Coturnix japonica: one gene and its partners. The protein of the gene in region 3 purifies or fractionates together with the protein of the main gene of each other region. This does not show direct contact. Links are inferred from orthologs where the notes say so. Each region holds a gene or a part of one and is shown on either strand. Other genes may lie near its edges. The genes, in order: IFT140, WDR19, IFT43 and TULP3.

The links.
Region 1: the proteins of IFT43 (region 3) and IFT140 purify together in Homo sapiens (affinity purification with mass spectrometry; 3 studies listed by BioGRID and IntAct, counting the BioPlex papers as one, with this or other methods). This does not show direct contact. The link is inferred for Coturnix japonica from reciprocal best matches to the Homo sapiens genes IFT43 and IFT140.
Region 2: the proteins of IFT43 (region 3) and WDR19 purify together in Homo sapiens (affinity purification with mass spectrometry; 3 studies listed by BioGRID and IntAct, counting the BioPlex papers as one, with this or other methods). This does not show direct contact. The link is inferred for Coturnix japonica from reciprocal best matches to the Homo sapiens genes IFT43 and WDR19.
Region 4: the proteins of IFT43 (region 3) and TULP3 purify together in Homo sapiens (affinity purification with mass spectrometry; 5 studies listed by BioGRID and IntAct, counting the BioPlex papers as one, with this or other methods). This does not show direct contact. The link is inferred for Coturnix japonica from reciprocal best matches to the Homo sapiens genes IFT43 and TULP3.

Annotation. Positions count from the first base shown.
Region 1 is NC_029529.1:11,985,537-11,992,488, forward strand, and holds part of IFT140 (intraflagellar transport protein 140 homolog), read left to right. Parts: intron 1-1,520; coding exon 1,521-1,698; intron 1,699-2,975; coding exon 2,976-3,166; intron 3,167-3,275; coding exon 3,276-3,371; intron 3,372-3,721; coding exon 3,722-3,854; intron 3,855-3,943; coding exon 3,944-4,087; intron 4,088-4,484; coding exon 4,485-4,613; intron 4,614-4,820; coding exon 4,821-5,003; intron 5,004-5,240; coding exon 5,241-5,447; intron 5,448-5,649; coding exon 5,650-5,862; intron 5,863-5,945; coding exon 5,946-6,112; intron 6,113-6,444; coding exon 6,445-6,586; intron 6,587-6,761; coding exon 6,762-6,952. UniProt on the Homo sapiens protein: Component of the IFT complex A (IFT-A), a complex required for retrograde ciliary transport and entry into cilia of G protein-coupled receptors (GPCRs).
Region 2 is NC_029519.1:62,619,488-62,626,648, reverse strand, and holds the end of WDR19 (WD repeat-containing protein 19), read left to right. Parts: intron 1-454; coding exon 455-605; intron 606-722; coding exon 723-846; intron 847-1,259; exon of another isoform or gene 1,260-2,100; coding exon 2,101-2,177; exon of another isoform or gene 2,178-2,580; coding exon 2,581-2,695; 3' UTR 2,696-2,701; exon of another isoform or gene 2,702-3,585; coding exon of another isoform or gene 3,586-3,681; exon of another isoform or gene 3,682-4,160; coding exon of another isoform or gene 4,161-4,352; intron 4,353-4,428; 3' UTR 4,429-4,789; downstream 4,790-7,161. UniProt on the Homo sapiens protein: As component of the IFT complex A (IFT-A), a complex required for retrograde ciliary transport and entry into cilia of G protein-coupled receptors (GPCRs), it is involved in cilia function and/or assembly.
Region 3 is NC_029520.1:34,929,041-34,936,594, forward strand, and holds the end of IFT43 (intraflagellar transport protein 43 homolog), read left to right. Parts: intron 1-1,383; coding exon 1,384-1,456; intron 1,457-2,862; coding exon 2,863-2,938; intron 2,939-3,284; coding exon 3,285-3,347; intron 3,348-4,067; coding exon 4,068-4,178; 3' UTR 4,179-6,831; downstream 6,832-7,554. UniProt on the Homo sapiens protein: As a component of IFT complex A (IFT-A), a complex required for retrograde ciliary transport and entry into cilia of G protein-coupled receptors (GPCRs), it is involved in ciliogenesis.
Region 4 is NC_029516.1:68,387,716-68,395,829, reverse strand, and holds the start of TULP3 (tubby-related protein 3), read left to right. Parts: upstream 1-3,495; 5' UTR 3,496-3,713; coding exon 3,714-3,754; intron 3,755-6,299; coding exon 6,300-6,351; intron 6,352-8,114. Other genes in the region: RHNO1 (RAD9, HUS1, RAD1-interacting nuclear orphan protein 1), read left to right, coding at 1,039-1,206, 2,619-3,260. UniProt on the Homo sapiens protein: Negative regulator of the Shh signaling transduction pathway: recruited to primary cilia via association with the IFT complex A (IFT-A) and is required for recruitment of G protein-coupled receptor GPR161 to cilia, a promoter of PKA-dependent basal repression machinery in Shh signaling.

The DNA of each region.
Region 1 (6,952 bases), on a different chromosome or scaffold from region 3:
TTCTTAACCCAGTTTGCACTGTTTTGTACGTATCTTGAGACAGCAAAACTGCAGCACAGCTGTCCCTGGTGTTCTGATGCTGGAGATGTCTCCCTGCTCACTTTCAGGGCAAAGGTGGAACAAGGTTCTGGCTGCATTTTGGTTGCTGGAGGTCGTCTGGTCTTTGTGCAGGAGCTCTGAACCCCAGTGCTCTGGCCCTGGCTGCCATCAGTGTGTGACCTCAATCTGCTGCAGCATCTTGCTGTGGTGTCGGTATGATGTGATCTGTGCTGCTTCCCGACCTCCACCTGGTTGTGTGCTCTGTGGTGCTCAGCAGCTGTGTGTATACCTTTGTGTATCCATCCAGGGCCAGGCTGGATGTGGCTCTGGGCAGCCTGGGCTGCTGGTTGGTGACCTTGCACATGGCAGGGGGTTGGAAGCATCATGGGCCTTTTCAACCCAGGCCGTTCTGTGATTCTATGATGATTCTATGATAATGCATGTATATACCTTTATCAGAGCAGTGTCCTTTGTGTGAGGGACATGTCTATGGGTAATAACCAGCTTCTGCTGCAGCTGGACCAAGGCTAGTGATAGAAGTGTCTGTCTTTGTTCATCAAAGCCAGGTGACAGTATCTAATGTGACCTAAATGTCCCTTAAAGGTGCTTTTCCTGCTGTCCCCTGTTCTGGGTATAGGCAGTGGCTCGCTTAAAAGGAAAAAGAACAATTAGTGCTTTATGAAAATGAAAATGGCTCCATCTTGTGCTGGTGGAAATGGGCATTTCATGCTGCATGGAGGTGCATCGTAGGTTTACGCTCAGGATGTAGCACTGAATTTCCAGTTCTGACATTCCTGCGTTCTGTTTCCATGTTCCTTTTGGCATTTGTGTCTGGAAGGGACTCGGATATATCAGCACAGAACCTGAGGAGGCCATGTTTGAACTGCAGTCAGCATGTTTTTCCCTCCTGTACTGACTGGATGTGCTTGACAGCACGTTGCGTCTCATCTCCTTTTGCTGCTTCCCGGTTAGTCAGTTTCCCCTGTTTGTGCAGGTCTTTCCCACAGCCACTGGGAAGAGAAAAACATTTTAATCATAGGAAAACATGATTGTCAGCCCCCCACCCCCAAAGTGGAAGGGGATTTGTTTGCAGGTGCAGGACCTGAGGTGTCATTCCACTCTTCAAAAAAGAAGAAAAATAGAAAACTTTTTTTTTTTTTCCCTGCTTTCATCATCTGGGTCCTTAATTTGCGTCATGTTGGTGCCTGGGAGCTGCGTGGGCCTCCACTGAGCCCTATTTTGAATGCAAATGTTTTGTTAACCAAACATGTGGATCTTCAGCTCCAGTGCTACCTTTATGTCTGAGAACTGCTTCTATTCTCCTTAAATCTTCATGGAACAACCAGAGTCTGTTTATGTCTGATAAGTGTGGAACTTGCTAATGCATTGTCCTTTCTTGCTCCTTGCCTCTTACCTGCTCAATACCCACTCCTTGATGCTGATACCATAACAGCTCTCCCCTTCTTTCTGCTTTATCACAGTGAGGCTGTCTGGGAGAACATGGCTCGCATGTGTGTGAAGACTCAGAGACTTGATGTTGCCAAAATTTGCCTCGGAAACATGGGTCATGCCAGAGGAGCCAGAGCATTAAGGGAGGCAGAACAGGAACCTGAGCAGGAAGCCAGAGTGGCTGTGCTGGCAGTTCAGCTGGGCATGCTGGTAAGCCTGTCAATCATCTGCATCCTAGAACTAGGATCTATAGTTCTTAGTCCCAGGCAAATGAGGACAGAAATGGTGACACACCCCACAGTTCACAGATCACCAATTAGACACAAAGTGCTGTGACAGCAGAAAATCTGCTGGGGCCTCTGAGGAGACGCTGCATCCCGGGGCTGTGATGGCTTTCATCTGTGTGTTTGTTGCAGCTGCAGCTGGAACGTTGCCTTCCACCTCTTCTCATTACCAGAAAAAAATGTTGATGAACTGGAAGTTCAGAGAATCAGGGCAAACTGTTCAGCTCTTGGAAGGATTTTCAAGGCTGGAAGGGCTAGAATTCAGCAATCTGCAGCCATTTTAAGAGTCTAAATGCCAGAGAGGTAGTGGAACTATCCTTAATTAAAGTAAGAGGGGAAAAAGGGAACGTTTGAACTAGATGTTTGGAGAAGCTTCCTGGCAGAGGCAGCTGTGAGGCTGAGAAGTGGCAATGCTCCATCCTCTGGATACTGGCATCTGTTTGGAGAGGTGGAGGGGAGCTGTACAAGGCAGATGCTGCTCTGTGGGTTTATTCACTCGCAGTGCCAACAATTTCCATCTTCCCTTTCTATGCTTTTAGAATTTGAAAGAGACAGAAACTATTTTTCTATCCTGGACGGATAATCTCCATTTACTAAATATAGTGTTCATCTGGACAGCAGTTGGGTGGGGCAGGAAAATGCTCCTTCCACAGGAGAACCTCTCAAAAATAATAGTTCCAAATTTGCTTATCCTTGCGTCAATACAGGCAAAATCCTCCTGATCTGCTTCTGTCTGACATGAATAGTGTCATTGCCAGGACTGGCTCTCAGTTATCCGAGGAAGAGTTCCTACGTCTGAGACCTGCTCTGAGGTCCCTCCGACCTCACATCACTTCTGGGCTGTGTGGCCATTCAGTGCAGCCCCATACGAGGATACCTCCCCTTTCTGAAGTGATTCACGCTCGTGGTGACAGTGTTTAATTGTTGATGTCTTGCTTGTGTCACCCCCCGGTTGATACTGTACAGTAAATGCAGGATCTGAATGCTTTCCTTATTTTCACATAAACATCCTGCTTCCCAGTAACGTGCAATTCCAGGTTAAGTGTATTAGTTGGTTAACCCTCCTGCCTGAATTATTGTTACACTAATTGCATTACCTGCATAACTAAAATACTCATTAGTGCAGTGCCTGCTGTGACCTGCTTGGATGGACACCTATAAAACCAGTGGAGCCAACGAGCTGCTTGTATCCTCTCCTTTCAGGAGGATGCAGAGCAACTGTACAAGGCTTGCAAGCGCTACGACCTTCTGAATAAGTTCTATCAGGCCACAAACCAGTGGCAAAAAGCCATTGAAACAGCCGAGGCTCATGACCGGGTTCACCTGCGCACCACTTACTACAGCTACGCCAAGCACCTGGAGGCAGTGGGGGATCACGCTCTTGCACTCAGCCAGTAAGCATCAGCTTATGGCAGAACTGTGTTTGGGGGGGGGGATTTTTTAGACAATGAAGTGAGATTTAAGTCAGTCATTTCACATCTGATATGTTCTGTTTGTCCACAGCTATGAGAAGTCAGATACACACAGGTTTGAGGTACCCCGAATGCTGTCTGATGACCTACAGGCTCTGGAGAACTACGTCAACAAGATGAAAGACAAGTCAGTGCTGTGCTCATTCCTTCTGAGTGGGACTTTCAGGTTGAGATACAGGCTGTGAGGAGGGCAGGGAAGGAGAAGTAGTGATCCTCTCCTCTGAGTTCAACACTTGCCTAATGCCTTTTCATCCCCCCTCAGCTTTTCAGGATCATGGCACAATTCACTCAAAATTGCCATATTGGATATTTAGGTTGAGCTCATAGTGCAGGTCTTTGAATATCACCCTTGTGTTTAGGTAAAACCTGTCTACGTTCCAAGAAAATACATCTGGTCTTGAGTTCAAGATCTCCAGGGCTGAGAAATGCATTCTCTGGTAATTCCAGCTGCTGCAATTAATACTGTTGCTTTTCTAGGAGCCTGTGGAAATGGTGGGCACAATACCTGGAGAGCCAGTCAGATTTGGAATCTGCATTACAATACTATGCACTGGCTCAGGATTATTTTTCCCTAGTCCGTGTCCACTGTTTTCAGGGCAACATTCAGAAGGTAACGCAGCCTGCTGCCATTTGTTTGCAGAGTTCTCATTCCTAGGATGAGTTTGGTCACAGTGTAAAGATATGCCATTTCCTTTCCAGGCTGCTGAAATAGCAAATGAAACAGGAAACTGGGCGGCTTCGTACCACTTGGCCCGTCAGTACGAGAGTCAGGATGAAATCAAGCAGGCCGTGCACTTCTACACCAGGGCCCAGGCATTTAACAACGCCATTCGCCTGTGTAAGGTATGGAAAGACACACATTGCTACATCCAAACCTGAAGCAGGATTCTGCCCTTAGGCAGCGTACAGAGTGAAACAGGTACAAGAGATCCGTTCTCGTTCTCTTTGTGAGATATTGCTTGTTCATGAAGACGGTCCAGTTTCTGCCCACATCTTCTACAAGGATTGATCATTACAAGGGGTTGCATGGAACTGAGTATTTCCTTTTCCTACATGTCAACAGAAAACTGCCTAAAACAGTCACTGTTGCAGCTCAAAGCCCTAGGAGTTGCTATGGGTTTTCCATAGGAGGTGGTTGATGGGCTACTATGTGACAGCACAAAGCCGAAAGCTTGAAAGGAGGCAAGCTCGTCAGGTCAGTTTGCTGCAGACCTCAACCCAAATCTTTGCTTTTCAACAGGAGAACAATTTAGATGATCAGCTGATGAACCTGGCTCTCCTGAGCTCTCCAGAAGACATGATAGAGGCAGCCTGCTATTATGAGGAGAAGGGGGAGCAAATGGACCGAGCTGTCATGTTGTACCACAAGGTAAATGCCTCATTAGTAAGAATAGCAAACTTTAAACTGACGCTGTTTCTACGGCAGAGGAGCATTTAATTAACGGTGTGGTTTGATTATGTACAATTATCAGTCATTTCTTCACAGTAACACTCTGTGAACCCACACTGGGGTGTCTGGGAAATTCATTCTGCAATGCTTATTCCAGTCCTTAAAGCCTCGTCCTTAATTTTACAGGCAGGACACTTCTCCAAAGCACTGGAGCTGGCCTTTGCCACGCAGCAGTTTGGAGCCTTACAGCTCATTGCTGAAGACCTCGATGAGAAGTCAGACCCAGCTCTGCTGGCTCGCTGCTCTGATTTTTTTATTGAACATGCTCAGTATGAGAAGGCAGTGGAGCTGCTGCTCACAGCCAAAAAGGTGAGTTCTGCCTTCCTGCTCCCCGTGTGCACCAACAGAGAGGAGCACAACAGGTGTGCACATAAATACACTCACATCTCTCTTTGTTCATAAGCACCTACACAAAAACATTTGTAAGCTTTAAGGTTTCTTTTCAGAATGACAGGGTGGCAGCTAAGTTCTAAAAGTTACACCACAGACAACGTGACATCACACTGCAATGCATGCAACTGCTCATTGCTTTCTCATTTCCATTAGTACCATGAAGCTCTGCAGCTTTGCCTGAAGCAGAACCTGACCATCACAGAGGAGATGGCTGAGCGGATGACGGTCTGCAAGGACTCCAAGGACCTTTCTGAGGAGTCCCGGAGGGAACTCCTGGAGCAAATAGCAGATTGCTGCATGAGACAAGGCAACTACCACATGGCAACCAAGAAGTACACGCAAGCTGGAAACAAGTTAAAGGTCAGCTGGGAGAGGTAGAAAAAACAGCTAAAGAGGCTGAGCCACTTAACTCTATATGGTTTTTCCCCTAGAGTGGTTTGAGGGAGGTCTTGGAACAGTCAGTACATTGCCCAGATGAGGCTTTCCAACCATTTCAGCATCATTTGATTTTTGCATTCACAATATTTCCTCTCTCTGTCCTCCCACCCCCATCCACTGTTAGGCTATGAAGGCACTGCTGAGATCTGGAGACACAGAGAAAATCGTCTTCTTTGCGGGAGTCTCCAGACAGAGAGAGATTTACATCATGGCAGCCAACTACCTGCAGTCACTGGATTGGCGTAAAGACCCAGAGATTATGAAGAACATCATCAGCTTCTATACCAAAGGGAGAGCCCTGGATCTGTTGGCGGGATTCTATGATGTGTGCGCTCAGGTACAACCAGCTTCTGTGATCCCTCAAGGTGTTCAGTTGTTTGCTATGGACTAAGAGCCTCATCTGAATCTCTCTTCCTGCAGGTGGAAATTGATGAGTATCAGAATTATGAGAAAGCACAGGGAGCACTGACAGAAGCATATAAGTGTCTTTCAAAAGCAAAGACCAAAAGCCCTCTGGAACAGGAAAGCAAACTAGCACATCTGCAAAGCAAGATGGCCCTGATAAAGCGATTCATCCACGCTCGGAGGTGAGTTGCAGTGTTTGGAGCATGCAGACTAATGACAAAGATATCATGCACGAGGAAGACATTCACAGTTCAATAAATCACATGCAGAAGTCTCACTTCTATAAGTGTTTGTTATATTTTTGTAGCAGGGAACCACAGGTGATTTTAAAAGTGATGTTGGCTTTCGAGACCAAAGTATAGACTGAAATATGAGTAACTGTTGGCCTGGGAAGCACAGCCATCTTTTGTTGGATGATTCTGAGACATGCACAGCACAAAAATCCTTCCCGTGCTTCTCATGGCAAAACTAAATGTCCTCCAACATGTGATTTTTCTGTTTGCTCTTTTGCCAGGGTTTACTCTGAGGATCCCAAAGAAGCCATCAGACAGTGCGAACTGCTCCTGGCTGAACAGGACCTTGACAGCACCATCCGGCAGGGGGACATCCTGGGATTCCTGGTTGAACATTATTTACAGGTGCAGGAATTCCATGTGGTAAGTTACATTTCAGTTCTTACATGCTGAAGAGCCCAAACTTTATGTACACCTTTATGTACACCAGAACACTCTGTCAACTGAAGATCTCAGCCAGGCATTGAGGATGGAAGCTTGTCCCCCTTTTGCTGGGAGCTCTGGAAGCGCTGTAGGTGATTTCTGTGCTTTCCTTTAGGCTTACCAGTACCTGGAGCAGATGCGGAAGATAATTCCATGCACAAACCTGACTTACTACATCAAGCAGCAGACGATTGAGGCGGTTCACCGAGGAGCAGGCATTCCCATCAGCCAGGCCTTGGTTCCAGAGCAAAGTCAGTACAGCGATGTGGAGAACAAGGATGTGGAAGAAGAAGTGGTTGATGAAGT
Region 2 (7,161 bases), on a different chromosome or scaffold from region 3:
CAGGAGGGGTTCCTCAACAACGTTAAGATGTCCTCAACTGCAGGGCTAAACTGCTGGAGCCGTGCTTAAAGTCTAAGCATCGTATCCAATGAACTGATGTTCTGTGAGTTTTTATCACAAAGTTTAAGTATCCTTCTTGTGGAAAGGCTGCTTGTTTGGTACATGGAACACTCAAAGGGAAATTGTCTCTGCTGTCCCACATGGCTGCAGTACTGACAGTGCACCTCTCCTCAGCTGTGCACACACAGCTCATTCTCAGCCCACTGCCAGCCTGTGCTGCACAGGTACCAGGCAGCAAGAGGTGAACCCGTGGTTCCCGTGTGTGCTTACAGGAACTGCGCATATTTGTGTGCATAGAAAAATCCTGTTGTCTTTCATCAATGCCCTATTAGCACAAAGGTTTTGAACAGTAATATTAGTAAGTAAACATTGCTGTTGGTTCATTTTGTTGCAGACATTGTACCAATTTTGACTTCAACAGTAATTGAGTGTCACCGAGCAGGACTGAAGAACTCAGCCTTCACTTTTGCTGCTGTGCTGATGCGACCTGAGAATCGAAATAAGATCGATCTTAAATACAAGAAGAAAATTGAAGCAATGGTCAGGTGAGCAGTGTTCCTCTGTGCTTCCAAACACTGGCCAGGCATCAAAAGCACTGTAGAAGATCCCTGTTCAAGGTCAAAGAGCTTGAGCTCTTATTCACATGTGTATCTTCCTGCCAGGCACCCAGACAAAGCCGAGGCGGAGGAGCCAACAACAGCCTGTCCCTACTGTGCATTCCAGCTCCCAGAGTGCGAGCTCCTATGTCCCAGGTGTAAAAACAACTTGCCCTACTGCATCGCAACGGTGAGTCCCAATTCTACACTGGAAGAATGAACACAAAGCCGCTGCTTCTTTATTCCTATCTTCAGTTGGCTGCCAGAGTCAGGCCAAGGCTTGGCTGTTCTTTCCGAGCTGTTGGCAAGTCAGTGACACCCAGACCTCTGGGGCACTTCCCATGTTAAGTCCTGGGTCAGTTCTGGTTTTGGTGTTAGTGATCCTGACATAAATGAGAAGCCCCACTGTTTTTGTTTCAGGACTCCTTACAGCCTGTTGGAAAGGGCCGCAGTACATTGCCCAGTGAGAGGGCCATGCAGCTCACCTCCATAAAGTCCTAATGCTGCACTCAGCTCCTGTCCACAAACATTTGACTGATTGAAGGGATTTGTCACATTACAGAATAAGAACAGATTTTCTAAAGCAGGAAACAAACAACAGAGTTAGTGAACATGCTTTAATTTTAATATTAAAACTAAAGGATCATTCTTACAAAAAATAGTAATAGCTTTTTAAACTGTTTTTTCTCCACTGGCTTAGCAGAACACTGTGCTCTATGTGCATGCCTTTTCATTTCTGTTCCACGTATTTAAGCTGTCTCTTGGCTCTGGTTCCTTCACACCATCACACTCACTTACATCACCAGGACTGCAGCGTTTTTCTCATCATACCCTTGGAAAGCATCAAAACAATCCACTGCTGCCTAATGTGTTACAGCATAGATGTGTTAACAATGATGTACAACATTGATGTGTTAAACGCACATCAAGGCACTGTTGGGCTTTACAATGGTGACCATGGTACCTAACAACTTTCTGCATCAGAATCAAATGAGAAACCAAATAAGAAGAAAAAGAAGCTGTTTCAGCTCTCCTGCTGTGTTCACTGACTGACTGACAGCCGCAGCCCCTCGCTGCCATTTTTGAACCTTACGCACCACCAATAATCTCAGTACATTTACACCACTCTCTTTCTAAGCACTTCCCTACAGGGGCAGCGTAGAATTGCCCTGACTGAAATCATTTGTAAAGTGATAATTAATTTCATTCTTAAAGTTACAAAAATAAATACACGTCATAGGGAAAACCTTCTTTCCCAGTGAGAGCTTCTCTTCTAGTCACAGAATTTACACGGTAAGCAAAGTAACACTGTAACCATGTGGGTTTCTTCATTCGTTAACAGCTTTAGAACTCCATTGCTGAGACTTTTTCCACAGTAACTGAACTGCCAGGTGAAGCATTGGGGAGCGCCTGCCCTTGAATGACTGCTTCCTCTTGTGTGCAGGGCCGACACATGGTACAGGATGACTGGACCGTCTGCCCACACTGTGACTTTCCAGCCCTCTATTCAGAATTCAAGAAGTAAGCTGGGATTTTTTCTTCTATTGAAGGGTTGCAGCATTCGTTCCATCTAATATACATACTTATAGAGTGTCACTTCCAATTGAACCAGCCCAACAGCAGCCACCGGAATAGGAGTTTGCACCTGGCACTGGGTGCAGACTAACAAAGCATTCATCACTTAGAAACGCCCTGTGTTCCAGTGCCATCTGTGCTGGTTGTAGTCTGCTGCCTTTTCCTCATGCCCACTCAGCAGAGCAGCCTTACTTCTGGGGTTAGCAAATGGCTACAAAAACTAAACACACAACTCACCTTTTCCCCCCCCTAGACAGAAACAGCTGCTGCTCCAGCCTCTCTTACACTGTGTATGTTACTCTCAGGCCCAACCGTCCTTTGACCCGTTGCCCCTCTTGCTTTAAAACAGCATGTTACAGGTTGAAAACATCTGCCCAATGTGTTCTGAAAGAATCAACACCGCTCAGCTTAAGAAAATGAACGACTGCACACAGTACCTCAAACAAGATGACACGGATGGTTAAGTTCAGGTATGTGTTAGAACCTGCTTTTGCAGGGCTCTCTGGGTTGAGTTGCTGAGGGTGTGGGGTTTTTGTTTTATTCATTAGATATCAGGGCTCATTGGGGAAGGCTGCAGCAGTGTTTCCCAGCAAGGAAAGTTCAGTGTTGGAGAGTTTAACTTAACTTACAAAGCTGCATCTCGATCTCTCAGGTAGCTGAGGAGCAGATGTAACATTTACTTGCCCTTACGCATACAGGTTTTGCTTAACTTCATTTGCACCAACCAGGCCATGAATGTTCTCATATTCAACATCTGCTCTGTGCTTCCATTGCTTCAGTTTCTGTTAAACTTTGTAACTTTTTAGGTATTCTGTTCTGGCTTTGATTGCAGCTATAGAACTTAAAACATTTCAAATTGTGGAACAAAATCCCTCTCTGCTCTGCTTTGCTTTTCTATGGCTGTGGGGCCAGTTAAGAAAAAAAAACAGAGCCTGATAGATGCAGGAAGACAGAACACCCTGTGAGCTTAAGCAAAAATAAAAACCTCACGCGAAACACATTTTATTGTAATTCTATACACTGCTTAATTGCTATAATGTACAAATATGCAGATTAGGATTTGCTATTTACAAGATTTCAGTACATAATAACAGAGGATTTATTTAAAAAGTCATGTGAAGACGTGCATAAACACCAGGTAACCACGCATCCCATCTGCGCCGTGTCCATGCACCCTGCTTGTTGTACAGCACTAGTTACGGCTGTAACGCAGCACTGCCCAGTGTGAGAACGGGAGCTACGGCACCTCTGTCAGAGGAGCGTTTTCAACACACTGGTTCCACATCACCAGATCTGTGTCACGTTCCTGACAAGTTAAATAACCAAAGCTACAGACAGAGCAAGGTTATTCTGTTTAATGTCTTGTTTTCTCTTTTCTTTTACCTTCTTTTTTTGTTGTTTCTTCGTTTTTCTCTCTTTTTGGCAGCTTGGAAGACTTCATCTTTTTTTGCTACAAAGAGAGTACAGGGAGAGTTTAGAAATCCAGCAGTAACCTGGGGAAAGGCATAAGTCAAATGCAGTGAATTAAAAAGCAAAGGAAAAGAAAAGGGGAGTGGGGGGAAGAGCCTCTCCCCTTTCAGGAATCGCACTTTGAAGAGTGATGGAATACAGACTCTACAGCACTGTCACTTTTAGCAGCAGCTGCAGGGAAGTGCTGGCTGCTCTGTAAGGACGTGGCCAACACTTTTGTTATATACATTATTTAACACGTTATGGAGAGGTCTCACTGGTCCAACAGTCAAGCAGAAAAAAAACAAATGAAAATAAATGAGTATTTCTGATAGTACTGCTGGTCAAGAACTGACAAGGTGATGCATTCAGCATCTACTCTGGCTTTGGTTTTTGATTCTGATGTTACAAGTCCTAGAAAGTGAACATAGAAAGAAAAAAGTTCAGAGTGGTGGTGTAATACCAAGGAAGCCAAAGCACCTTGATCATGGCATCGCTTTCAACAGTATCCTGCTCGTCCTCATCAGACGGGGGCTCTTCCACTCCCAGTTCTTCATTCAGCTCAGAGGTCCCCATGGATCCTGGCTGCCGTCTGGACGTCTTCACAGAATGAAGGGAATATGGAGTCAGATGCGCCTCTTTGTTGTAGGCCCGTGTAAAAGCTGCTTTGACCTGTTAGGTGGGAAGGAAGCACAGAGCGTCAAATTAACTAACCAGTTTATTTGTGTATTTACAACTTCATTTTCAGCTGACCTGCAAATCTACAACTGGACAGAGCTGCAATCAGACATTCAACTCCAAAGTCTTTTCTTCACTAGACTTTTATAAGAAGACTTTGTATAAGAAGTTGTACCAGAGGAAACTGTCCCTCACTTGAGAAATCACGCCTTACTCCAATCAGTCATCTATTGTGGCACTACGTCATTTGTGAACAGCTGCCATCAAGGACGCAGTACGAGGAAGGGTAACATTCACCCAGCATCTGACAGACACACTGAGAGCTCACTGAGAATACATTCATTTCACTAAGATCAACTATCCCACTGGTTTTATGTTTTTGTTGTCCTTTTTTATCTTAATGTCTTAATAAAAATATTTTTACAAGTACAGTAAGTATTGTTACTTACATATGTTACCTGCATTATGTATTTTGCACGTGGCCAAGATGAGGCCTCTTCACTGGATGCAGCCCAAGGCACAGGGCTGGACACCCGCACTCATCCTACTTCTAAAACAAGTAAGGCTACATCCCTTAGCGGGCTGCCTTGCCGGATGAACTGCTATGGATTTCCGTGTTCAATTATATTAGAGTTAATAAGACGATGCATTTGCATCTTCAGCAGCATGTCCAAACCATAACTATCATTGTAAGATTTCCTTACAAAAGATGTGAGATAAGGAAAAAATTCAGTAGTGAATCTTACCTTGGGATCCAGCTTGGAAAAAGGGCTGGGTTTCCCTCCCCACATACTTATTTCCATTATGTTGTCAATGTCTTCTTTCATCAGGCAGTAAGAGTCCAGGAACGCTACAGCATCCTGTACACCATCTGCTCCAAAGTCCCGCAGTGGCCGGATGAATACATCGCGCAGATGGGACAAATATTCCACATTGACTGTCCTCTTGCACGCCTGGGTTCTTTGTCAGATTGAAAGTGAGAAGTTAATCTGTACAGCTCTACTCAGCTCTTTTCCAAACAGCCTCACTCAGCAAATAGATGCTCAGCTGCCTTAGGAGTTAACCACAAGCTGAGTTGTACCATTTATTTTGTCACACCTGCATAAGGGAAAACCTGGTGCAAAGTATCCAGCACTCAAAAACCAGAGTGTTTGGGGAAACACAACCCTAACTTAAAAAAGGAAGAAAAAGATCACAAACAGACGGTACCACCACCATATTAGAAGTGTCCTCAGTCTGACTGCTGTCCAGAACAGTGACGCAAAAGCATCACCAACAATCTATGAGGATATTCCTAGAATATACATTTAGGATTGTACCAAGGACAGCACAGCACTACTGGCAGGTAACGAGCTACAGAACGAGTTGTCTCTATTGATGCGCACCAAGTGTCAGTACTACCTGAGGCTCATGTGCATCGCCAGCTCTTGGATGATACGCTCGTGTTTGCCCGTGGATGAGAATTTCCCCAGCCAGCTGGGAAAGACGGGGAACTGGGACATGTAACCTCTCATCAGCTCCCCAGGAAGAACACTTGAATAAATAGCCTGAAAAAATAACACACACACACAAAACTTAGTTAGAACAGAATGGATTTAGTCTCAATGACACACACACGTGCTACCCGTTTCACTGAAAGCAGGTGAGTGAATACGGATAACCCCACAGCACCAACAGCTCAACTTAAGACAATGTGGGCTGCTTGTTGCTGTTTATCCCTTTTAGGTTACAGCTTCAGCTCCTGTACCACCCTGTGTGTTATCATGGGGTAAAATAGCTGCCAAGTGCTGAGTTGTTAAGAACCTTTTTTCTTTTTAAATGCTCTGTTTCCCCAGTGTGGGGTGCAGTCACACAGACAGCTGATGTCACACAAACAAGGACCATCATCTCCAGGTGGACACAGTACAGGAAACACATGAAAAGCACACGGCTGCTAACAGATTTATATTACAAAGCCATATAACCACAGTTAGGCAGAGGCCCCTTCCAACTTGTACAGTACATTTTCTGATGCCAGTCGTGGTCCTTTATGCACCAATAAAGACCAGTAACCTGGTGCCACACGAGTACTGACATCGCTTTAGATGTTCCCACAGTTTATAAAGCAGGTTCTAAGTTTTTTCAGTGCTTCAGAAGACTGTTCCATGATACAGCACGGGGTCATCTGTGTGCTCTATAGCAAGCTGCTCTACTCTATAATAGGTCATGAATGCACTGACATTATGAGGTTTGAGTCTCACACACTGCCCCCACACCGGGGTGCACATGAAATGAGAGCTGAGTTCTCACCTGTGTTGGTAGAAGGTTCCAGTTTTGCTTGGTACGAATCTGTTTGTCCACCAGATCACCATCACATATACTATCAGCAGCTCTACTCAAGAGCATCAAGTGTTTCTTCAGATCTCCTCTGGGGGGGAAAAAATTGATCTTAGTACACAGCAAAATATATACAAGCAGGTTTTAATCTTAACCTTCCTCCTCACAAAGTTCACCATGGATTCAGGGTCTGGAATAACTCACCCAGCAGCAGCAGGTTTCACATGCACATAGTTCTCCTGGACAAATAGGGGTGCTAGGGAATAGTCATGGAAGAAGAGACATTCGAGAAGCCTCCTCTCCAGCAGCAAAAACCTTCCGGACAACATCGAAAGGGCCCTAAAGGATAAAGGTATTTCAAGAAGTGGGTTGCAAGGCAAACAAACACTCAGCACACAGTCAAGAGAATCACTACAGCGACTGTACGCAGCAATATCTGGATTCAGCACCAGCTCAGTGTCCAGTACTGCACTTTTATATGTGCCTT
Region 3 (7,554 bases):
ACATTGTCACTGGGCAGTTCTCTCCACAGGTCAGTCTGTCCACAGAGATGCTGTTACTCTGTGATTGCATCTTATTAGGAGCTTTACCCTGGGCTGGGAGCTCCTGCATAGAAGAGCCAGCAGGACAGCAGGTTCTCCTGGCTCTTGTCCCTACATGCAGAGTGGGGGCAGATATATCCTAAAGGTACAGGAACACGCTGGTGAGTCATTTCTTGCCCTCTAAGGGACATCCTGAGGGCCTGTTGCTGCAATTTTCCTTTATATGTCTTTGAGAAGTTTGCCGTAGTCAGAGAGCTGCTTTGCAGGCACCTGTTCCTCAGGCAGCTGGGGAGCTTGAAGGCACAGCTCTGCTGAGATCATCCAAGCTGTCACCTCCGCTCGCCTTGGCCTGGCTCTTGCTGCAGCCGCCATCCCACTCAGCCCTCCGCCAGGCAGCCAATTAGTGAGAAATCCCACTGTGTGGCCAGCACCGAACGACCGCCGCACTGAGGCCCGTGCTGACCCCTGTCCTCCCACAGCTGGGCCAGGGCTGCTCTAGCCCTAGCAGCTGGTAAGCCCCAGGGATGCTGAGGGGATGCTGGGCAGAGAGGGCAGCTGAGAGGCTGCGGAGCTCTGACAGGCAGCCGGACAAGGGGCTCTTCAGCAAGACCCTGCCCGGAGCCTTGGCCGCCACAGGTGGGGACATCTCTCCAGCTCCTGAATATTCATCTCAGCCTGGGCTGCAAAGCTAGGCAGAGTCAGGCCCAGCTGCCTGCTGTGCTGCTGGCAGAGGCAGGAGCAGCCTGCCTGCTCCAGCACTAGAGGGCCAGCTCTGATCCCACCTTGTGCTTGTGAAGCTTCTTCCCAGAGCCAACCACTGGCATCTCCGCCATCTGAGGACACAGCATCTCACAGGTTTTTAGCAGGATGCAGTGTGCTCCCAGTTTCTCCTGCTTTCCTCCATTTTCTTTTTTTCCCTCTAAGTACCCTTTGTAGGTGGAGTAACCATAATCATCATGCTGGGAATATCTAGTGACATCTATTGGCCATTCCGGGCTCACTCTGGAAAGACACGAAAACATTTATGACATTACAGCTTAGTGCATCCTCCCTCATCTTAGTGTCAGCTGGACCACCAGCACTTCCTCCTTCAGCCACGCGGAAGGTCACAGCCTCTGCTCAGTCTGCAACCCAGCCAGCAGCTCCTTCAGCATGCAGATTCATTCACATGGCTTCTGCCATTGTATGCTTCACACCTCATTTCTAGCAGATTCTGGGTGGCTGAGCGGAGCTGAGTAATGAACAACATATCTCATAGGAAGAAAATTCTTACCAGTCTTCAGATGACAGCCAGATTCTTTTGGCTTCGAGGTTGTCTTCAAATGCTGCTTTCTTTTACTACAGATATTCCTGTGATCCCTGACTTAGAGGAAGTCCAGGAGGAAGATCTGGCCATGCAAGTGGCAGCTCCCCCCAGGTAAGAGTGCTCTTGTGGCTCACATCGGCCATGTGAAATGTGCGGTGAAATTAAACTCCATCTTATCTCATGCCCTGTGGATGTCAGTGGCAGCACCATTCAGCAGGATTCGATGCTGCACATTGTGACAGTGGGGCTCCAGGCTGAACAGTGCAAATTTGTTTCCTGTTACATAGAGACAGCAATTAATGCATTTTCTCTCTGTATACACAAAATCTACATTAGAGCATCACTTTTGATATTGAAAAATCAAACTCTGAAAAGTTAGGTGTTGCTTGATTTAAGGTTGCCTGTGTGACAAATGCCTCCAGTACACGTGTATTATCACACACACTTTGATTGCACTCTGCTTCGCCCTCCACAGGATATCCTTTTCACTCAAGGGCTTAGTTAATTTGCAAAGCACAATACGATCTGTAGGTGTATCACAGTAGTCTTGGGATTAGCTCGTAGGAGACCATTTAGTAGTACATTTTAAAAACTGAAAGTGTTGGAGTTAATTTTCTTGATACTTTTAAGTCGTTACTCCTGTTGGATCTATTGCAAAGATCACAGAGTGGGATTTCTGTTGACCTTTGTTTGGATGACCACAGATGCCTTTCTTGCAAGTATGGAGTAGGTGTCGTAACTAAATAGCTGTTAATAAAAATAAATGACGTGTCATAGCAGTAAATTAAAAAAGATTTTGTCTCTCACCAGAGTTTGGTTTTTTGTTTTCTCTTTTTTGTATAATCCCATCTGTTCTCCCTGTATCGATAGTCACTCTGCAATAGAAGACAAATAATTTTCGTGGGCATACATAGAAGATAAATGAATACAAATGTTCCCTGTAGTACTGCGTAACATGCAAAGGGAAGTATGGCAGGGCAGTACGTTCCCCCCCTACCTCTGCTCATCTTTGGAGCCTACATTTTAAGAAATTGCATTTGATAGCTGAAATTCAGCTCAGAGATGGAAACTGCAAAGTCTTCACTGTTCTATAGTTTGCATTGTGGGACTCTTGAATGTGCTTTGCTTCCCAGATAGGAGTGGCATTTTGGCTGTTACCTGCTGAGTGTATCTGTATCTGGGCTGATTGCATGTTCATTGCCTTCCTGTTTTCTTTCTGGCCCTTGCATGTGGCTCACGGATCTTCTCTCTGGCATGCCAACTTCTCTGAAGGAGTCCCTGGTTGCTCCATATCCTATTTTTACACATGCGATCAGCCTGGCTCTCAGATTCGTCAGTGCCTCTTAATGTGCTGAATGAGATGTGCTTCTGTTCTTGGACAACCATTTCAATATCCTCATCATCCAGTGTGGATACTTGAGTTGTGTGTCCACACACTACTGCTTAAGTCACTGTGTGTCTCATCTGCTGTGCTTCCACACTTACCGGGGTTCTGTTTTGCCCGTTTCTGTTTGCAGTGTGCAGGTGAACAGAGTGATGACCTACCATGACTTGGACAAAGATCTTACAAAGTATGCTGCCTTTCAGACTCTGGTAAGTGGATGTTGGTGTGGAGTGACGGGTGTAAGTTCCTTTCCTTCCAGTTTTCCATTGTCCTCCACAGTGATACTCAGCTGCATAAAATACATTGCCCTGTCATGCAAGCACCTTCCAGTCTGCCTGCAAATATTTTCCTTTCAGCCTAATGAGCATCTGGAAATAGTGTGTGTGTATATAGTGCCTGTTGTTCATATGAGGAGGTACCTGCTGCTGTCCTGAAGAAGGTCTATGTCATGTATGGGGCAAAATGTTGTGTCTGTCTCTAGCAACATCCTCTCTGGTGAAATGATGGTGCCTGCTTTCTCTGTGTCTGTAAGACTGTGATTGTGTGTGTTCTTAGGATGGAGAGGTTGACCTGAAGCTTCTCACCAAAGTCTTGGCTCCAGAACATGAACTACGGGAGGTGAGTTAAAAGCTTCTTATGTCTCAGACTGTACTTAGAAAGTAAGCTTTTGTTGGTGGGGTGGAAGAAAGATACTTGAGGAGGAGCCTATGAAGAGGAGCTTGTTTTCAAGCTGATGGAGGTCTGATTTCCCCAGCAGATTATTTTAAAAGTTTGTAGGTATTTCTGTGTGTGAGATTACAGCATTGCTGTGACTGGCTTCCTTCAGTTTGAAAGAGTTAGTGAAGGGCCTAGTGCTGTCACAGATCCATGCACAAACTGCTGCTTTGTGTAGTTTTTGGTAGCCACCATGGGCTCCAGATGGTTCTGCAGAGTGCTACAGGGGAGCAAAGAAAACATTTAGGGTTAGGACAGAAGGCTGTTCTAAAGCAGGGCAGAAGAACCTCAGTACAAATGTATAAGCAGTAGCTCAGGACTTGAAACAAAAGATTTCTACATCCCAGAACAGCAGGTGCTTCATTAAAAGAGTGGAAGATTTTTATGTCTCCTTATGCCCTTCTTGGGAACACCTAAGGTTAACAGTGTGGGCTTTACTGAATTTGGAATGATTATTTCTTCCAAAATCTTTAAATTGTAACACAGATTCACATTCCGTTCTCTCTAAGTTTCCTATCCTAGTCAACAAAATCTGTGCCTTCCTCTCTGGCAGGGACATCATTCAGAGACCTCTGGGAGTTATCAGTTAAATTTTCAGCATGTTTGTCTTTTTCCTCTTGATAGGATGATGTCTGCTGGGATTGGGACCATCTCTTCACAGAGGTATCCTCAGAACTAGTAACTGAGTGGGACGTGGGACAGTCTGAGAGAGAGGACCACCTCAGTGTACCCTAGAGCACTGATACACCTGATATCTCTCATGTACACATTCCCTGTAAATAGTTTAGCACTTTAATTTTCTATTTACTTGTTTGTATTTGAGAATATATTTCAGACATGGAAATAAATAGAACTTGGTCTGTAGGAAAACTGGCTTGGGGGAAGTTTTGGATATTTTATACTAAGACTCTTCATTCTCAAAAGAGATTAAGAATTAGAAGCACAATATATTATTTACTTATGAACAGTCACTGTCACCTTACTTTAGCACCTTTACAGATAACTGCTATGGTCAGTCTCTCTGGGAAGACTGTCTTACACAGTCAAAGAATGGAGTGTGGTTTTCAGTGATGGCTGTGAGAGAAGCTTAGGTTGGTGCAGTTTGTTTGCCTAGAACATCAAGGTTATCATCTTCCCACAACAGATGCCACAAGTTGTCAGGATGTCTGCGTTACATCTTGTCCATCAGCCTCCTGCCATCCCTTGCTGGTTTAACATTTGCCCTGGGTCCTTACCTCTGTATTGCCTCAGAGGAAGCAGCATCACCAACTAAACTGCCACTACTGCTTCTTGCAGCACCTTTTGTTTTCCCTGGAGTTATCCCAGTCAAGGGCTGACCAAGCCTAACCCTGCTTAGCTTCAACAGTTAGATGAGATCACATATTGAATGGAATTAGCTCCAGGCAATAGGTGGTTTGCAAAGAAAATACTGCTCATTCCACATGTGAAAAAATGAAGCCTGCTGCTCTGAAACAAGCTAACTCCCTGGCGTGTTTCCTTGGAAGCAAGTAACCTGTTCTCATTGTCACCTAAAAAAAACTCCGTTTAGCTGTTAATGCCCTATCCCCATAGAGCTGTGGTCATTATTTGCAGGAAACAATAGTATTACTTCTAAGCCAGTGTCCTTCAAAGCCTTGTCCCACAGGAGAACCGTGCTATATACTTCTGGGGGACAGTGCAGGTGCTGTGCAGAAGGCTTGATGTGCTGCTTTTCTTAGCTTGTTCTTTAGATCTAATGGAGCACTGCATTCTTTCTTTTGTACTGATGCAAGTCCAGGAGAAACGACTCACTGTGAACTCAGTACTCTGCAAAATTTCTGATCAGAGTTGATAGCCAAAAAAAAAATCTACCAGCAAGAGAGAAGAAGCTGCCTCAATGAGATGCTATGTTTGTAAAATCAAGGAATCTCCCCCGTAACTAGAAAAGTAGATGAGATGGAAGCCTTGGGGCTAGTGTATGGAGGATACCGCTGAAGTCTCTTTCTGAGCAGAGAAACCTGTTTTGGTATGAACAGAAACTTCCCAGCTGGGCCAGTGTCTGTTCTTCTCTGATATCTGTGGCCCTTGGCCAAAGAGAATTTAGGATTCTTCCTATAGTCCAAGAAGGAGAAAACAAATTCAGCAAGCTTAGTAAATCAGACAATCCCAACAAGGCTGTGTGGGGAAGAGAATGGTAAAGAGTGGAAGAAATTGATTAGGCTTAGGGTTAGATTTGCACAGTTCACATCCCAAAGATCATAGAAAAAGCCGAGGCTCTCTTCTCTCAAATACAGTCTGTAGTCAGCTTAGTGTGAGCTCTCTCCATTCTGCTTGAGCTGAGTATCCTCTAAGCTGCTTGCCTGGTATCACGGTATTCAGTGCATGCCAGCCAGTTATCAATGACCACAAAAGCTGAGGATTCCCAGGCTTGAGGCACAAGAGTGGATGAGCTATGAATCCAACTAATCTGGCTGTCCAGCCTGAGGTTTGATATGTGACGTGTGTTGGAGTTTATTTAGGTACTTAGTGAGGTGGCATTACTGACAATTGGAGCTCTAAGAGAGGAAAACCAGGCATTATTTAGGCAGCCTGCAGGATGTGAGCTGTAGAGGCAGTGCTCAGCCCATTGCTCCTCATGAAGCTGTATGCCATGCCAACAGTCTTGTCTCTTGTCCAGGAGGGCAGAGCACTGTCTGCCTCTAAGGACTTCACCCATCTCCCTGGGTAGGTAAAGTGCTCCTGGCTGGCTGCCGTCCTAGCAGGGAGAAAGGACAGGCATCTCTGGTCTGGGCATCAGTGCTCAGCCCCTCAGAGACCGCGCTGGACCTTCAGGAGCCAAGAGGAAGGAGACCCTTGAAACAGAAGCGGAAGGGACATTGGATGCTCAGAGATCTTTCTGGAGATGGTGACAGGTAGGAGTGTGGAGGGCATGTGGACACCATTTAAGGCAGGGTGTGGGGAGGAGGGGACTTGATGTCACAGTGGGGTTTGTGGGAGGGGCAAGAGGAATGAGGAGGGTGAATGATTTGGGAACAGTATGTATAATGTTTGGAGGGACTGAGGGCAAAGCAGGTGCTGATGAAGAGGCTGGAGAAAAGGAAAGATGAGGTGCTTGGATGTGTAGTTTGACCTGCTATGAAACAGGCCATGGCAGATCTCGATGCGATGTGGCTGAGCTTCACCTGTCTTCTCCCTGGTTAGTTATCCCAGCAGACAACTGCCCTTGTGGTTCAAAATCTGCTTTATTTCTAAGCTCTGTTTTTGTTTCATCTTCTATTCCTTGCACCTGGTTATGCTTTCACCTTCCCTGTTAAACCATGCTGTCAGATACTTTCTACTTGCTCAGGTATTTATGTGCACTGTGAACAAGTAGTCTCTTTAATTTTCTTCAATAAAGTTAATAGAGTGAGACTTGTTTCCACATCTTTCCCATTCCCTCCCCAGCTGGAGGAAGGAAGGAGAGCTGTCTGGTTCTCGGCCTTCCTCAGTTAGCCCTTCCTACTGCCTGCCTGGCTGCGGTGCTGGGAGGTGTCTGAGCTGTGCCCTCCTGCCATCAGTCCCTGGTGATGTCACATTGGAATCTGCTCCTGTTACTGTCCCTGCTGAAAGGAAGCATGTAAGTGCCTTTTCTAGCTCTTGGTGAGGAAGGCTATATAGCCATCCTTTGAGGCACCTTAGTGTCCGTAGACTCGTGTCATAGAGGGGTAAAGTAATGTGTAATAGTGTGCCTTCAAGTTCCTAATCCAAATACAGTACTTATAGACCTAGATAGCGCTTTTGTTCCCAGCCTTCTGTCTGAAGATAGTGGAAATCTTGTGTCCAGGTTGCTTCTTGTTCTGCTGTGGCCCTACATGGCTGAGGGAGAGCTGCAGACTGGTCAGTGTGTTGGCAGCAGCAGGGTCAGCACAGTGAGTTGCTCTGGGTGTCTGCAGAAGGCTCTGTTGGGGCTCAGGCTAGGTAAGCAGCTCTGTCCCAGAGAGCTCCTAGCAGGCTTAGGGCTCAGTGATCTATTCAGGACAAACTGTGAGCCTCATTGGAATAAAAGAAATACACAACAAAACTGAATTCTAGCTCCTAACATCTCTTTGGTTTTGCTTATAATAATAGGTACGGTATTTATAGACTTAAAGGA
Region 4 (8,114 bases), on a different chromosome or scaffold from region 3:
GTTCCCTGTTTGAATTTGGCGCTCAGCGGTTTCTTGCCATCACGTGGAGCTCCGGGCCAGTGAAACGCAGCGGCGGGCGGGGCCGAGCCGGGCGGGCTGATGGGTATGTACTATATGGGGTGGGTGCTGAGCACGGTGGGGCTGTGGTCACCTGTAAATACTCTTAATTTAAGGGTCGTTATCCGCTTCGAGAGGAGTTATCCGAGCTGAGACTGTGAGGCTCCAACCCTACAGCCAGGTTTGACTCTTCTGTGGTTTGACTCTTCATCGCTGTGTGTTACCGGGAGGAAAGCGTGGCTCCAGCTGCCTTCACAGAGACCTCCAAGAGCATCTGGACTTCACTGGTTGGTGGATAATAAGGTTGTGTCTCTAAATCTTCTGGCATGTTAAGGGGGCTGGTCAGTTGTTTTGATAATATGTAGCAAGCGGTTATTATGTAGCTTTATATATTGAATAAGAAAATGTACTTCTTGCATGGTATTTTCTCACCAGTGTCAATCTGCTTCTACATGGAAAAATATCCTCGTACCATGAATATGCATGTATTCCCCTGATAAATAGAGATGTTTACCTCCTTTTGGTGTGCAGGCTAGGAAGGAGTTAACCCCCTGCACCCAGCCAGCCAAGTAACACGTACCTGCTCTACAACTACTTTGTGTTATAAAGTTTGTTATGCAACTCAGTGTGGCTGTTTACCATCACATGTTTGGTTGTGCCTTCATGAAGCTTTGAAGCACTTAATTACTCATTCTACTATATATATATATATATATATATATATGCTAAATCTGCCTGGAATCTGATAAAAGATATAAAAACTACTGGTAGGTAACAGTCTATATGGAGATCTGCATGTTATTGTACTAGTGTTTTGTTCAAAGTCTTTATCTGAGGTTTCTAAATAATTGTTCAAGTCCATTTCCTTTTATTTATTTTCTACAGATTTGAGGGTGCTTGAGCATCAAAGTGCTTTCCTCCTCCTCCAATTGGTACTAGTGAGCATCATGAGGTTTCAAAGCGGTTTTATCTTATTGTCTGATGCCTCCCAAAAAGAACCGTACCCGGAAGACTAGAAAGGCAGAGCTGGTATTCATTGAGAGTCAGTGGGAGGCACCCATCCGTTGCTGTGAAACTCCACTGTGTGTGGCTGAAAATCCAGTATGTGTTTCTACAAAGCCTGTAGACCACAACACCTTTGCTGCCTGGGTTGGTATACGTTATCAGTTTCTCTGTGTCTTGCAAAAACAGGTTTTTAAGTTTCTCTCACATCTCAACAGAAAGTTTTGTATCCTGATAATGAAAATCAACAGCATGGACCTGAATTCATTATAGATGCCTAAAGCATAAATAAGTGCATATGAGTTTTTTTATGTTCAAATATAAAAAATAAAATCCTGGGTATTTGAAGGCATAAAACTATAGTGTATACAGACTGTGGTTTCTATTTGTCTTCTGAAAATCTAATTCTGGTGAGGAAGAAGCTTTCTTTCTATGGCAATTGAAAGATTTACCATGTAATTTTTATATATAGGTAAGTTAGTGCTATGGCTTCTGAAATGCTGCATGAAAGAATTGCTGTGATAAAGTGTGCTTTTTGTTTGGAAGAGCTTCAAATAACCACGTTGTCCTTTGTTCTAAATATCCAGTGATTTCTCTGAAGTCAATAGCACTGAAGCTATTAGATGTTAGAACATACTGGTAGGTTTACAACTCCCTGAACTGTTCTCTATGGATGGATATCACTTGGTTTCACTGGCAACTGAGTTCCTACTCAGATTGAGGTTTCTGCTCTTTCAGACCCTCTTGACTGTTAGGCTCCTGGTAAAGCCTATGTGCTATGTTCTCTGAAAAGGAAGTCCAGGTCAGTTGTTCACTTGTGTACAGTTTGTGCTAGGATACAATTACTGGAAACATGAGCCATGATTGTCTAAAGAATGGCTTTGGTTCAGTCAGTTCAGGTGTACAGTATATAGTCAGTACCCATAATTAGCTTGCACTTAGTTTTTGAGGGAATGTGTAGAAACCTGAGAAGGCTAAAAGGGGTTTGTGGTTGTCATAATGATATCCAGGTTGGGATGCTCTAGGACTGTTTTGACTGACTTTTGAAACCCCAGAAGATAAAGACTACTGTAAAAAGAAGGATTTGCAAGTCTTGAGTAAGTGCCCAAAGTCTTTCAATGAAGTATAGGTTATTGAGCTTTGACAGAAAGCTGATTTTAGTAGAATTGACTTTGTGGTCATCTGTTAATCTTTGTGTTGTAGAGTAACTGTTTGAGGAAAGCATGTTTTGGGGGAATATTTTGAAGGCCTAATGAACATTATCTTCATATTACTCCCATTTGTAGCTATAGTTGCTCAGGAATATTTGGGCCATAATAGTTCACTTGTACTCCACTCGCTTATCAAAGTGATAGAACAGAACTTTGAAGTTCAGAGGTGTTTCCTGCTTACCAGCTTGGATAACAACTAGTTTGCTTTGCTGCAGGCCAGCTTACCCATTTAATCAACACACTGAGGAAAGATGGGATGGGTGGGGGAGTAGAATAAGGTTGGTGTTCCTCTGGAGAAAAATACCATTTTGGTTTTTTGTTTTTTTTTTTTTCTTCTTATGTCTTCAGGTGTGCCCCCAATTTGAAACAACTAAGTCATTGGTTCTGAGAGTGTGTCAGAAGAAGCAACGTGGTTCTCACAAGCCTCAGAATCAGGATGCCAGCTCTGGCTTGCTTCATGCAGAGAGAGCTTGTCGGAGATCTGTGGCCTGCAAATTTCCTCCTTTAAATTTTGAGAATTCAGAAGAACGTGCAGTCCGCTCCACGGATGTGCTGAGTCACGCAGGAAAGAACACACAGCATTCTCACGGCCAGTGCAAGAAAGGGATAGGATCAAAAGCCAACATCCAGGTGAATGGTACTGAGAACTATAGTGAAACACCATCATTACCTGTTTCTCAGCCTACAGAGCCAGAAGTCTTCAGTCCACTAGATATGGGGATGCCACAGTTGCCTTCTTTAAAGAACTGGACAGGTAGCAGCGTTCTGCCACAAAGCAGTAGTTGTGCTGAGTTGGTGTCCAGTGTCAACCACTGTGGGAGCGAGCAATTGGCAGCAACACTGGTTACGGATACTCCTGAGCGTGACTATGGAATAAAGGTGACCTGGAGACATCGGCCTCATCTCCTTAAGTACCTGAGAGACAGAGGGAAGCTGAGCACTGCTGACATACTGGTGAAGGCAGACCTTGAACTCAAGAAGCCAGGCTGACTTTTGGTTTGGCAAAACAGCCATTTCACACACAATATAAATATGGTCTAATACAAACACAGAAAGTCCTTGAAAAGAGCAAAGAGGGGTAATAAACGAAGCCATACATTGTGCTGGGGCATCTTAGTTCTATTGGGAAGTGGTAGCGACGCGTAGGATGCACTTTATTCTCAGGGGGGGAGTGGTGTGATTTTACTTTTGACTGAGCTTCCTCGCAGGGGCTGTGGGAGGGCGGTAAGTGCAATAAGCCTCCACATCCACCCGCCATGATAACTGTGGAGGCGGGGCTCGGCGCTGACCTGGCTGCCTCTATGCGCATGTTCGGCTCGAGTTCTCAGCTGAGGGGAGCAGCGGCCCGCTTGGGCCAATGGCGCAGGGCCGGAGTTACGAGTTCCGTCTCCAAGGGTAGCGGTGAGATCGAAACCAGGTCCCGTAGTAAAGGCGGGGCTGAAGATGGAGGGTGCCAGGAGCCGATGCGCGATCGGTGGGGGCAGGTGAGTGGGGCCCAGCGGGGCAGGGAGGTTGCGAAGCGATTTGCGGCGAGTCCCTCCTCAGGCTGACCCTGAGCCTCGGTTTCCCTACCACGGTTCCAGACTTTGATTGAAGCAGCGTCTTCGGGAGCGAAACGACTGTGGAGGCTTTTTTTGTGTGTTACCTCGTGCTTCTAATCATAATTAAGCATTTGGGATGTGAAAACGGTAGCGAGCTCTTAGGCCACTGCATGTGGGGGGTGGGGGGAACGCAACTGATGGGAACTTAACTGACGTAATGGGAAAAGCACGTTAAGTTTGGGAGAGAGATTTTGGGAAGAGATTCTGCCCGTGGGTTTGAATAGCTGAAACCACAAATGACTGAGAATTCAGTGTGATGTACAGTGAAGAGAGATTTTGGTGATTAATGTGATGAATGATTTTGGAAATGCAGGAAAAGAACTGTTTTCTATCCAAGCATCAGAGGGTACGTGATGGGAATGCCAGTAAAGAGAGAAACAAAGAATTGTGTAACGTTTCTTGGTTGCAGTGATGAATGTAAGAATACTAAAATGCACAAACCTGAATAAATGTACGTAATTCCTAAGTAGATTTTTAAGACCATTAAGTAGATTCTTAAGACCATTTGTAGAGTCTTAAGAAAGCTATATGTGAGAATCAGATGGTCAGTATATATGTATTTTTTCTTTCTGAAATGAAATTTTCTTGCTATTCAGCGATATGTAATAGATATTGAGACATAAATAATTTTATTTGATGGACAGGCAGGTGAGATTTTGGGTTAAGGCCATTTCTAAGTAGGCTCTAATACTGTGGTGTTGTATTAACTTCTTCTCTGCCAATGTTATCTTTCATTTACGATGGCTGTAATTAAAGTAGCTTGAGATCATATTGAAGTCTGACATTCATCTAGATTTTCTTTAAGCACTAAGGTGCATCATTATGTTTATAGTGTTATTTCATTACTTTGATAAATGCTACGTGTTTCCTTTTCATTTGGGACAGTCTGACATTAAAAGTGTTGGATAGTGGTGTATGATGGGCAGCAGAGTTCAATTGGTTTGTGGTATTGGGTCATAGTCAGTTATCCCCACGGTTCCCTTCCACTCCTGGATATTGTATTGTTTGATGTCTTTATAGTATGAGAAAGCTCTCTGTTGGTAGACTTGGACTGGGATTGCTTCAGTCTCTCAATGGGACACAGTTGGACAGTCTACACAGTTATATTGTTGATTGTGTTGTAATTGGGTCATGGTATGAATGCTCCTGTGAATGCATTTGCTGACATGCCTAGAAGTGTTTTCTTAGTCCACTGCAAGAACTTTTATCCATACTTCTGTTGTTTAAAACATAAAATCGATGGGATGTCATCCAAAAGCTTGTGTCTCATCGTTCATACTCCCCATTCCCATTAAATATTCTTATGTGAAATTCCAGGCAAAAATAGAACAAGAATCTGGATTTACTAACTGCATATCCTAGTTCAGGATGGAAATCACATTTTGCTGTTTCATTCTTATCAATAGCTTCCCATTCAAACTTCTAAAAAACAAAACAAAAAAAGCTGGATATAGACTGAAACTGAAACTCCACACTGAGCTCTAGAATGTTAATTCATATATATTTTTTCATTTATTTCCTTCATTTTTAGTTAGACATACTATAAAAACAAGTGCAGTTCGGCATGAAGAGCGATAAACTTCATAGAAGTTTTGCTGTCTACCTGAGTTAGTGATTTTGTGCCATTTAACTGGTTTAATTTCTGTTTATCTTGTGGTCTCCAGAACCCAAACAGGCACAATCACAGAGACAGCAAAGGTTTGAAGGAGCCTCTGGACATCATCTCGTCCAACCCTGCTGCTCCATAGGGTCAGCTGGAACAGGTTGCATAGGGGGATGTCTGCTCAGTTGTTGAGTATCTCTACAAAAGGTTATTCCACAGCCTTGATATGCAGTTTGTTCCAATGTTGACTGACCCACAATAAAAAAGCATTTTCTTGTGTTTTTTTTATGTTTTAAACTGTGCCCGCTGTCTCTCTTTCTGACAGTAGGCACTAGTGGTTCCATCTTTATGCCTTGTCATGGGGTGTTTATATACCTTGTTCAGCCTGCAGCAGAGATGGTTCCATGAAGATCTTACCACTCTCAGCTCTCTGAACTCATATGAGAGATGCTCCAGTCGCTCAGTAATCTCTGTGACCCTTTGCTGGACTTGCATATTTTCCTGGGGGCCCAATAGTGGCCACAGCATTGGCTAATAATAATAATACATCATAATTTGTAGCAAAAGCCTTTGAGTAATGAAAGCTTTTTGCTTACAAAATGTTTTCAGAGAATTTTAGTTCAGTGACTGAATCACCGGTCCTGTTTGTGACAGAAAATGAAGTATGTTTCTTTCATAATGCCTTATTACTTGGTCTTCCCATGGGCTAGAAATAGTGTTTTACAGTTGGAGCCTTGACAACTATGTTGCAGTCTGTGGATGTCGTGTTTTTATATAATGCAAACTAATTTCTGGTAATAATTTTTTGTCTCTTGCCTTTTCCAGCATCTTTGAGGATGAAGGCATGAAACTACGACAGCTGAAACTAGAGAATCAGGTCAGTGGTTGTGCATTAACTGGCAAAAATAAATGAAGGAAAACAAACATTAGCCATCTTATTTTAGAAAGGAAAGTTAAAGTGCTTGTTTTCCCTTTCTTTCCCTTCTTCTCCATTCCCATTTTTCCTCTTGATTACCTGTCCTCTTTTCATTTACTTCATAATTTGTTGCTCAGAACTACATAAGGTATACAGCAATCACGAATATAGGCCACACTGTTCAGTTTCTGTTGTGATATTCAAGGCTGCAGGTGGATTCACAGTGTCACAGAGGCTTGAGAAGTGTGGAAGTGATTAAAAATGGTCTGAAGAATACAAGCAGAACCGATTGCTAATGTTTTTCGTTTAAGTTCTGCCTGACTCTTGTTAGATAGCTTGTATTTATTGTATTTATTGTATTTATTGTGAAATCAATAAAGTGTACATCCTCTAAAATTTCAAGTGCTTATTTAAAAGTTAGAAATTATGGGATAATTATAATTATCTAGCTGTCCATTTCACGTGGAATGGAGTTCACTGAATTACGTTATAGATTAAATTCATGAAGGTAGAACATGAAGCTGTGTTGAAATTAAAGTATAGTTTTTAGAAATTCTGTCTCTCATCTGAGGATCTTTTAAGTTAAGACATAACACTTTTCAGGGAACTGATGCATCAGTTAATAACCCTCTTTACCAAAACTTGTTTGTTATTTCTAGTCTGAGCTTATATTGCGCTGAGTCTAGACAGATTCATTATTGTCTTGACCTCCGTGCTTATATGGACACTTATTTAACGCACTTCAGAGTTAAATAACTATCTTTTACACAAGTAGCACCATGCTTTGTGAAACAATAAAGGTCAATAGCAGATCACAGCCAGACATAATGGCTTCATTACTGTTTGTAGCAGATACCACGCTTAAGAAATTTCTCCTAAACATTTAGAGGAACTGAGGTAAAAATTGCAGAATGTCTTTGTGAAATACAACAGGATTGTGTTCAGCATCTTTGAGCACATGGAGAATCTAGAGTAAGCCTTTGATGTATCAAGGGCTTGTGTCTCTCATCCATCGTTATGATGGATTTCAAACCATATAATTTTAGTTAAGTATTGTTTATAATCTGTGGGTCACATCTGTCTGCCCCAAAGCTTTTGCCTATTGTACTTCCTTGAGAAGAGTGTGGATGGCTTCTCAGGCAGTGCTTAGTTCCTCGGCAGTAGAACAGTATCTTTTGAGGTACCTGTAGCTCAACCTGTACTGCTGCTATCTCTCTGTGGATGGAGAAGGTAAAAACTGAAGGCTTGTTTCTGAATGCATTTAATACAATATTAGTCTTGACACTGAAGTTTTATTAATGCCATAATCACTTGCATTTGTCCCCGCCATCTTACTGTGAACTAAAGAGGAGCTGAAAGAAAAGGAGCCTCAGAAATCCATGCCTTGTGGTCTACTAAGGTAGACTACATCAAGTAATAAATAGTGCATTGCACCTTCAAGAAGAGTGATTGAAGCCTTGTTGTGCACCATCTTCTTGTTCATTACAGTGATAGGAAGAATGATGTGGAATACCAACAGCAAAAATTACAAAACCTGTTATTTAATGAGTTTTTAATGAGTTAAACGTTCTTGTGTCATGTGATTTTTTTTTATTATTTTTTTTTGTAATTCTATGTGAAATTTTACTGTGACACGGGGCTGGAGAAAAATGTGGTTAGTAGATGGAAGCGTGTTTTTTTAAACTTGCCCTTAGTGGAACAAGTCTAAGGACATGCTGTGCTGA